Linked DNA regions of Saccharomyces cerevisiae S288C. The protein of the gene in region 3 binds, or shares a complex with, the protein of the main gene of each other region. Each region holds a gene or a part of one and is shown on either strand. Other genes may lie near its edges. The genes, in order: SLD5, PSF2 and PSF1. A codon is read from its position in the direction of its gene.

The links.
Region 1: the proteins of PSF1 (region 3) and SLD5 are in contact, whole or in part, in a cryo-EM structure (PDB 3JC6), measured with the Saccharomyces cerevisiae proteins. Residues at the interface, in NP_010296.3 of Saccharomyces cerevisiae: Leu41 (codon at 1,010), Ser45 (codon at 998), Arg48 (codon at 989), Leu76 (codon at 905), Met79 (codon at 896), Glu80 (codon at 893), Lys83 (codon at 884), Arg84 (codon at 881), Leu86 (codon at 875), Leu87 (codon at 872), Gln90 (codon at 863), Arg91 (codon at 860), Thr94 (codon at 851), Asp98 (codon at 839), Trp102 (codon at 827), Asn103 (codon at 824), Gln126 (codon at 755), Glu127 (codon at 752), Glu129 (codon at 746), Tyr130 (codon at 743), Glu133 (codon at 734), Tyr134 (codon at 731), Leu137 (codon at 722), Ile138 (codon at 719), Leu141 (codon at 710), Gly144 (codon at 701), Asp145 (codon at 698), Leu146 (codon at 695), Val147 (codon at 692), Asp148 (codon at 689); in NP_010777.3 of Saccharomyces cerevisiae: Leu88 (codon at 2,117), Ile91 (codon at 2,126), Ser92 (codon at 2,129), Leu127 (codon at 2,234), Glu130 (codon at 2,243), Thr131 (codon at 2,246), Glu134 (codon at 2,255), Arg135 (codon at 2,258), Lys137 (codon at 2,264), Phe138 (codon at 2,267), Ile140 (codon at 2,273), Arg141 (codon at 2,276), Ile144 (codon at 2,285), Arg145 (codon at 2,288), Leu148 (codon at 2,297), Asp152 (codon at 2,309), Lys153 (codon at 2,312), Asp178 (codon at 2,387), Tyr182 (codon at 2,399), Thr185 (codon at 2,408), His186 (codon at 2,411), Ile189 (codon at 2,420), Trp190 (codon at 2,423), Leu193 (codon at 2,432), Val194 (codon at 2,435), Asp196 (codon at 2,441), Ser197 (codon at 2,444), Ile198 (codon at 2,447), Leu199 (codon at 2,450), Tyr201 (codon at 2,456).
Region 2: PSF1 (region 3) and PSF2 share a complex: the UniProt entries of both Saccharomyces cerevisiae proteins name them as parts of the GINS complex.

What each region holds. Positions count from the first base shown.
Region 1 is NC_001136.10:1,429,157-1,432,449, forward strand, and holds SLD5 (DNA replication protein SLD5), read left to right. Parts: upstream 1-1,855; coding exon 1,856-2,740; downstream 2,741-3,293. Other genes in the region: PAC11 (dynein intermediate chain), read right to left, coding at 32-1,633; serine/threonine protein kinase PKH1, read right to left, coding at 2,812-3,293. UniProt on the Saccharomyces cerevisiae protein: Required for DNA replication. Functions as part of the GINS complex which plays an essential role in the initiation of DNA replication by binding to DNA replication origins and facilitating the assembly of the DNA replication machinery.
Region 2 is NC_001142.9:304,678-307,495, forward strand, and holds PSF2 (DNA replication protein PSF2), read right to left. Parts: upstream 1,186-2,818; coding exon 544-1,185; downstream 1-543. Other genes in the region: JEM1 (Jem1p), read left to right, coding at 1-441; ARG2 (acetyl-CoA:L-glutamate N-acetyltransferase), read left to right, coding at 1,455-2,818. UniProt on the Saccharomyces cerevisiae protein: Functions as part of the GINS complex which plays an essential role in the initiation of DNA replication by binding to DNA replication origins and facilitating the assembly of the DNA replication machinery.
Region 3 is NC_001136.10:471,295-474,286, reverse strand, and holds PSF1 (DNA replication protein PSF1), read right to left. Parts: upstream 1,131-2,992; coding exon 504-1,130; downstream 1-503. Other genes in the region: RAD61 (Rad61p), read right to left, coding at 1-241; 60S ribosomal protein uL4 RPL4B, read right to left, coding at 1,346-2,434. UniProt on the Saccharomyces cerevisiae protein: Required for DNA replication. Functions as part of the GINS complex which plays an essential role in the initiation of DNA replication by binding to DNA replication origins and facilitating the assembly of the DNA replication machinery.

The DNA.
Region 1 (3,293 bases), 960 kb from region 3:
ATAACCTATGCTCACCCGCCTCGAAGCGGCGTTAGGAGATAACAGTGGCCGTGTAGAGGGACGTCTTAGCATCGAAAGCCCAATTTACAACAACGAGGCGACCATCTGCACACCACACTTGACACCGTAGAGTGCGACTATTTTCCCCTCCATTGTTTTTTTCGAGCCAGCGTGCACGTAGTACGGGCCCCCCTAACAACAATGGCGCCCCTATGATAGCTTTCCCTGCTCGCGCGTCCCACAGCCGCACCGTCCAGTCCGTGGAACATGATAATAGAAGCATTAGCCGCCGAGCATCGTCCCAATGAAACTCTAACCCGGTTACCCTCGTAGAGTGGTTTTCTGCAGGTTGGAACCCATTGTTGTCCAAAGAGAGGTACAGCGGCCCAGGTTGGTCCCAGAAAACCTTGTATATACCACCGTCTTCGCCACCGATCCAGACGTACTGCGGGTCCTCACTCGTGTACGCCATGCAAGCTATACCTACCTCATCAAACTTTGCCAACCGCTGCAATCGCTCCGTATATGTGCAAGTATCATTCTCCAAAGATAAAAGCTGTGATAGCGGTACAGGACGGAGCTGCTGTGGCTTCCGCAAAACAGTCAAGTCCAGGCAGCTCAACTCCATAATATTGCCATTATCAGCTGCCACAAGTACTCTCTCTTGATCTTGCACGCTGCTTGTTTCAATTACAGCCACCACTGGGTGCTGAAAGTAGTGTCTTGCCACCATATTTCGCTGCACGACATACACTACCGGTGTTTCTGGCTTTTTCTGTTTCAATCTAAGCTCGTACAATATGATCTTGCCCGTCAAGGTCGCCAACAAGATTGATATTACATTGCTTTCCGGATGATACCGACGGAGGATCGTGGCTGTCATGATCCGCGTACCACGGAACTCTACCATATCTATCAAGAGGCCGTTGCGTCCGCTGGCATTATCGCACTTGACTACATTCACCACAGACCACGCCGCTTCGCTGCTAGCATACTGTAGGTCTGCCGGCGGCAATCGTAGATAAACCACAACCAAGACGCCTTTTCCTGGGTCATACTCCTGAGCGATACAATCGCAGTCTGTCTCTGATTGTAAATTCTCACTGACCATGTTCCATTGCATGAGGTTGTCTTTATCCTGTTGCATGTTCGATGGCGCCTGCTGGCCTGACGCAGAAACCTCTGTCTCCAGCCGCGCAAAACTAGCGTTGCTCAGCGTTGCCGCCGCCTCTTCAACAAGAAAAGGTTTGGCTAGTTCTAACCTTGGCTGGTCGTTTTCAGCTTTGTCTTTATTATTTTCGTCGGCAGCAGTAGTTTCAATGGCGACAGCATCAGTAGTGGTGTGATTTTCATTTTCTTGCAGTTGTTCTTCCTCAATTTGATCTGTTTGAATGCCTTTGTCGTATGTTATAACCTCCTTACGTCGAAGATATGCAGATTGGGGCTCTTGAATCTTTGAGCCTTCCTCCATGTCGGTCTGCACTGAAACGCTGACCATGGTTGCCTTAGCGTGCACCTCTGTGGGATGGTGGCCCATCGTCTCGCTCCCAGGGAACAAGCTGGCTTGTTTTCGCCTCTCACGCAGCTCTTTCAATTGTCTCCTTTTTTCCTCCAGTTGCTTCAATCGCTCCATCTTAATGTTTCAATCCTTCTTCCTCTTTGGTTGATTAACCAACTGTGATGCTCTTTTTTCCCTTTTCTCTTTGTTTACGGCAAAACACGAAAACTAGTTCATTTCTTTTTCTTTTCGCCTTGGACTAGTACTGAAAATTTCAATAGCATTATATTTGAGCCATAGGTAAGAAAAACCAAATTTGTTAGTATTGGGAAGGAGAATAAGATACCTGACTCGGTGATGGACATTAACATAGACGATATTCTTGCAGAACTGGATAAGGAAACTACTGCTGTCGACTCTACCAAGATCACGCAAGGTTCTTCTTCCACTACCCACAGAGATGCAAATACAATAGTGGGTTCGTCCTTAGACTTGAATGACAAGACTCAGATATATGTCTCTCCCCAGCAGGATTTTTCTGACTTGATGAAGTCTTGGAAAAATGAACGGTGTTCGCCAGAACTCTTACCATATCCTCATCAGTTGATGAAAAGATTATTGAATCGAATATCCATGCAATCTCAATTAATTGAAAACATTTCAATGGGATTCCTCGATATGCAAAATGCTTCTAATGCGAACCCGCCTATGCCTAACGAATCTAAATTGCCTTTACTCTGCATGGAAACTGAGTTAGAAAGATTGAAATTTGTTATTAGAAGCTACATACGATGTAGGCTAAGCAAAATTGACAAATTCTCACTTTATTTGCGCCAATTAAATGAAGATGAAAATTCGCTGATCTCTCTTACAGATTTACTATCCAAAGATGAAATCAAATACCATGACACGCATTCCCTGATCTGGTTGAAACTAGTCAATGATTCTATCCTGAAATACATGCCCGAAGAACTTCAGGCTATTAATGATACAGAAGGTAGCGTAAACATGATAGATGAGCCCGACTGGAACAAATTTGTCTTTATACACGTTAACGGCCCACCAGATGGTAAATGGAACGAAGATCCGCTATTGCAGGAAAACGAGTTCGGTAAACCTTGCTACACGGTCACAATACCCGATTTAAAGGAAGAGGTTGAACTCACTATTGGAAGTATTTACGTTATGAGATATGAAGTCATTAGGGATCTGCTGAGAGACGACAAAGTTGCTCTTATTTGAACTATTATGCATTACACTTTCCCCTTCACCATGTCTTACATATGCATATATATATATTATCAAGCACAGTTTCATTTTTCATCTGTCCGTGTCATGTTTTTCCGCATTTGTGTCGATCTTGCCAGCAATTTTGAGTAATTAGATGACGATCGGGTCTGCAACGAAGTGGGACGTTTTGTGTGAAGTGCGCCTTCTTCGGGTGTCTTTAAGATGCAACGGTCCGGTAAACCATTTATTAGCCTATTCGATTGAGGTACGGGAGGAGCTTGATTCTTTTTTTTTGTATTCTGTCTTTTTTGAAGAATGAACTTATCAAACATTTTATGGTCCGACTTCGGCGATACTACTTTAGGTTTGGCGGTCATTCCATTATGTATTAATTTCCATAGTTTCATTAAAACTGCTCTCTCTTTGCATCCTATGAAAATCGTCCTGGAACCGTCAATTTCAAGGACTTGATCACTTATAAAGCGTATCTTCTCAACGTCATTCAACTCTAGTTCGAATTGCAATTCAAATTCCTGTTCTTCCCACATGCTGAGACTTCTTCTCT
Region 2 (2,818 bases), on a different chromosome or scaffold from region 3:
AAAGAGCATAAACATCGGAATTTCAACCAGCAATATTTCCAACAACAACAACAGCAGCAACAACACCAACGACATCAAGCACCCCCAGCAGCGCCTAACTACGACCCAAAAAAGGACTATTATAAAATTCTTGGAGTATCGCCTAGTGCTAGTTCGAAAGAAATAAGGAAAGCATATTTAAATTTAACCAAAAAATACCACCCAGACAAAATAAAGGCCAACCATAACGACAAACAAGAATCAATTCACGAAACTATGTCACAAATCAATGAAGCGTACGAAACATTAAGTGATGACGATAAAAGGAAGGAATACGATCTTTCCAGATCAAACCCCCGCCGCAACACTTTTCCTCAGGGGCCTAGGCAAAATAACATGTTCAAAAATCCAGGAAGTGGCTTCCCATTCGGAAATGGCTTTAAAATGAATTTTGGGCTTTGATGAAATACATTCTATGCCCATTAACTAGGATACCACAACAAGTACATATATATACATACGCATATCACTGAAAGTTCTAATTATTGCAAAGCCAGCACTTTTTTAAATATTGAATTCTTCTTCATCATTTTCAGTACCAGCGGTAAGAGATGCTGTGTGAATTTCTCGCAGTTTATCCATGATTTCAGTAATGAACGGCCTCAACTCATTGATTTCTAATAGACTTAAATTATCCAATTGTAAATGAGATTCATTCAAATACTTAAGGCCTTTTAACACTTTGATCTGCCTTATTTCCCTTAAGTCTTGTATTTTACCACGTAATTCGTGAATGGGGTCATGAAAATCATCCTTAGCTTTATTGAAAAGTATACGTGCCAAGACAAGCCAGTTCCACGGCAACTCACTAAACCTATCCGGATGAGTTTTCTCATATTGTATTTTTCTATCAAGCTCTTTCGTCGTTAACCACTGTGGTGCTACAATACTGCACTTGGATTGTTGCTTCAGTAATAGAGCGATCCAAAGAACCACTTCTGTAGAACGCATGGCTACCATATTATTTAAAGCTTTGTCATCTGTAGTAATAAGTTGCCAGCGGGTGTGGTTTCCAGTTCCTCTATCATCGCCACGAATTTTTTGGCGTGTTGTTATTCTGGGAAAAATCTTTATTGGCTCGTTTTCCACAATGAACTGTATTTCTTCTGGTGAGAAAGTCTGCTGCAAATGTGCCGGTAGTGACATGCGTCTATGAAACTAGTCTTATTTCAGATCAGCCGTTGATCCTCTCTAAGTATAAAACTCTTTTTTGTTAACCATTTCATAGTTACACTTTAGGCGACTGATTTTTCATTAAATGGAAAATATCACAAGAAATTTCACGCTGGAGAAAAAAAAGGTTAGTCATCACTGATCTTCCCATGGAGTCATAAGCACGTTCGACATAAATTGTGAAAGTTAACACATTTGAAGCTAGGACCGTCAATCTAGGACACTAGTCGGTTACTTTTATCATGTGGAGGAGAATATTCGCGCATGAACTCAAGTATGATCAACCCAATGCATCTTCAAAAAACTTGATCCTTTCAGTTCTGAATACAACCGCTACAAAACGAGAGGCTAAGGATTATCTCTCAAAATATACAAATGATAGTGGGCAGCATAATCATTGTTTGTTTTTTATCAGGGACCTGCATAAAGTCGCACCAGCGATTTTGTCCCAGTTTTCAAGTGTCATAAAGAGACTAGGAATGCTAGGTTTGCGACCTATGTTTGTAATTCCGCCGTCGCCAACTCATGTAAATATACAGGCAGAGTTACTTGACAGTATCGTTACAGAAGCAGATTTAAAGCCACTTCACCTTAAGGAGGGTCTTACTAAATCCCGCACTGGGTTATATCATTCTGTTTTTTCGCAAGAGAGTCGTTTCTTTGATATTGGAAATTCCAATTTTATACCAATTGTGAAACCTTATGTGTATAATGAAGAGACTGCTTCAGAATTCATGACAAAGGATGTTGTAAAATTTATGGATTGCCTGTGCCAAGGGAATATTCCACACATTGACAAATTCTTCATTCTAAATAATGCCGGAGGTATACCTTCGGGAGAGAGAAATGATAACGCTCATGTATTCATCAATCTTTCTCAGGAACTCGAGCATTTGTCCTCGTCATTATCTCACAATATAAGCACTCTAACCAAACGAGAGCCACGCTCCCAAAACCTGTTACACAGAATGGAGGTGTACGTTAAAAAAGATGAGATATCTTCCTTAGAATGTGAATACCATGATCATTTAGAAAACCTGTTATTGATGGACAAAGTTTTATCAAATCTAGCGGCTACAGCAACGGGACTGATTACAACTGTCAAAGCTGCCGCACTATCATCAGATAGGAAAAATCCTTTAGTATATAATTTATTGACAGACCGATCGCTAATTTCTTCTTCTTTACCAAGGTTTAAAAAAAAGGACGGCGAGATAGACTCACCAGCCAACATGTTTGATGATCACGCATGGTATGAATTGCCTTCCCAACAGGTAAATGCAGCTCCTTCTAACTCAGATGCAGTTTTAGTGACAACTGTTCTCAAAAAGGGCGTCCATATCAAAACTTATGACTATAAGACGCTGACTCAATTCAACTCAATTGGGCTTCCAAAGAAGTTTCACGTACCTGAGAAAGGAGCAAAACCCTCGAGCAATAGTCCAAAACTAGATATCAACAAATTTAAATCCATCATCGATCAGAGCTTTAAAAGATCTTTGGATTTGCATGACTACATAAAAAGGATTAATGGAAAAATAGCTACAATTATTGTGATAGGTGATTATGAAGGCATTGCAATTCTTACCTATGAAGGCTCGGAGGA
Region 3 (2,992 bases):
GTGAAGAGGGCTTCTCATTTGCACCATCAAATGACGACGAGCTGTCCTGAGCCTTTCTAGGCTCGTCCAATAATCCCTCTATCGGGTGGTCTGCAATACTGCTCGAAATGGTAGAACTTACATCAGGAATCACGGAGTTTACATCGTCATCACTAAATTCAACATCGGAAGAAGATGGCAAGCCTTTATTAGATCTAAAAGGAGTTCTGAGAACTGGGCCCCTCTTTCCATATGCTCTCATTTTTTCAGAAACAGGATGCTTTAGGGTAAGAAGATGGTTTCGTTTTGCGATAGTTTCTCTGCGCAGTTTTTCATTATTATAATAAAGTGAAGCTTCGTCATCAATAAAGTCGCGTAAAGCTCAGAAAGCCTCCTCAACCAAAACTTACGAAATCTATTAAAAAGGGCTGAAGTAAACATAGAAGGGAGTAAATTAGAATGGAGGTATGTATCTTGCTTTATAAAGGATTATATATCATGAAGACCAGCTTGAAAGCATTTTATCATATCTTCTGCAAATAACCTTGTTGAATCAAACGCTCTACATCAGACTGCCTTACGAAAAACTGGGAGTCTTTAATAAGGTTAAACACGCCGTATTCAGTTTGAATCTCACCAGCATCTTTGAGCACTCTAACATCAATAAATACATCGCTCGGAGGCACTAAAGAGCCGGATAAATCAATATCGACCAAGTCACCACTTTTTAAATCAGTAATTAAATCGCAGTATTCTTTCAAATATTCCTGCTCTTGATGAGAAAGGTTATTTGTGTCTTGTTGGCTAAACGTAATGCTACTCATCAAGTCCAGACCATTATTATTCCAAGCCATAGAATCTAGTATGTCTGTTCTCAACCTTTGGTATGCTAAGAGACATCTCTTGTTCCTTTCCATACATAACAAGGTAACGAAATACTGGCATTTAGCCACCTTATCATCTAGCATTCCTAGTTGCTGCTGTTCTTTAAGATATTCCGTATTTTTACGTAAATTTGAAACTTCTTTCAGAATATTTCGTATTATATCTTCATGATACATGGGTAAATTAACATCTTGATTACTTCTTGCGTACAGCTGTTTTGTTCTTTTAGCTTCTAATACTAATTTATTACCTAAATCTCCATACATGATTCTCTGTGAGCATGGCCGTTTATAAACGATTTTCCCTCACATCTATTTTTCAGCTTTCTTCGTTAGTTATTTTAAATTACAATTTTCGCGTTGTAACGACAAGAAGGTTTTGAGCAAATCTGACGTTTCGACTTTAAAGAAAACAAAAAGGTTTGATTAAAGACTAGTAACAAAGATATTTAAATTAAAGTTAAAGATCTATACTATAAATTCTAGTCATGCTTCAAGGTTTCGGCGAAAACAGCAGCTGGCTTGGTACCAGTCTTTTCAGCCTTCTTGGAACCTAGCTTTTCAGCAGCAAAGACCTTGGCGTAAGGGTTCAATCTCAACAAAACTTGCTTGTTCTTCAATGGGTTCTTCTTCAAAACGTGAGTACGCTTTTGAGTAGCTTGGCCAGCTGGTCTGATAGCAGATTGGATTTCAGAAGAGTTGATAATTCTGGTGACATCAGAAGTGGAGATGATGTGGGATGGCAAAGTGTAACCGACCTTGGAGGAGGCAACGGTTTCGGAACCCCAGACTTGGTCCAACTTGGTGAAAGCAGCTTCGGTCCAGATAACGAATCTACCCAAGTGAGCACCTGGAGCCAATTGCAACAAGTTCAAAGAAGCAACGTTGGCAGTTTCAACACCTGGAACGTTTCTCAAGGCCTTGACGATACCGTTGTCTTCAGCGTAGACAACTAATGGACCTCTTCTTTGAGTCCATCTTCTGTTTCTGTACTTACCCTTACCGGCTCTCAATTTCTTGGACTTCAAGACCTTCAACAAGTCGGAGTGAGCACCAACAGCCTTCAAAGCAGCAACAGCTTCCTTGGTCTTTTGAATAGATTCCAAGTCAGTGGAGACAACCAATGGGATTTCTGGAATCTTTTCGACTCTGTGACCTCTGGCCAAGACCAAAGAAGCAACAGCAGTAGCAGCAATAGCAGAAGCAGTGGCGTAACGCTTTTCGTTGTGGTTAACCTTAACGTTCCACTTTCTCCAGGTCTTAGTTGGAGCAAACATACGACCACCACGACACATGTTACCGAAGGCACCTTGACCGGATCTACCGGTACCACCACCACCAACTCTTGGAATACGAGCGACGGCACGACCGGTACCCCAGGATTCAGCGGAGGTTTGGTGACCAGCCTTTTCAGAAACAGCGTAAGCTTGTCTCTTGTTCTTGTTCACAGAGGTGAAAACAGTGTGGACAATGTCAGGACGGATAGGAGCGGAGAAGACAGCTGGCAATGGCAAGGCATTGGCAGTAGCTTCACCAGTCAAAGAGTGAACAGTAACTTGTGGACGGGACATTATTATTGGTATATACCCTAGTAAATGACTATGAATATGTAAGCGATTGCTGATAGGAAAGAAATATTATTTTCAATAATAATAGTAGTGTAACGTATTCATGATCTTCATGAAAACTTTTCCAGAGTACTTGAAAAAAAAAAAATGTTAAAAAAATTGCGTCTGCGCGATGCTTTCGTAAATAATTATATTTCTAACGGAATAGACAATTCATGCCTTCAGTGCAGTTCTTAGCAATATGCGCAGTTGTTTTATAATTCAGATACGCTGAGGAAAGCGCTTCTAAATTGTTATTTTCCCATTTGTTCCAATCTATCAAAACTAACGTTATCTATATTCAAAAATTCCTGTAAGATGAATACCGTTACGATAAATAAGGCAGGACTTACGGAACATGTAGGGTCCGGATAAGGGTTGCTTTATTGCGAAATGTTCTTATAGTGCAACCCTTAATAGAGTTATGAAAACTTTTCATAAAACAGAAAATTTTTATCACTCTTTTCAACCAAGCTGTCGAATGAACTATGCAGAAAAAAAGAATAATAAAAAATTACAATT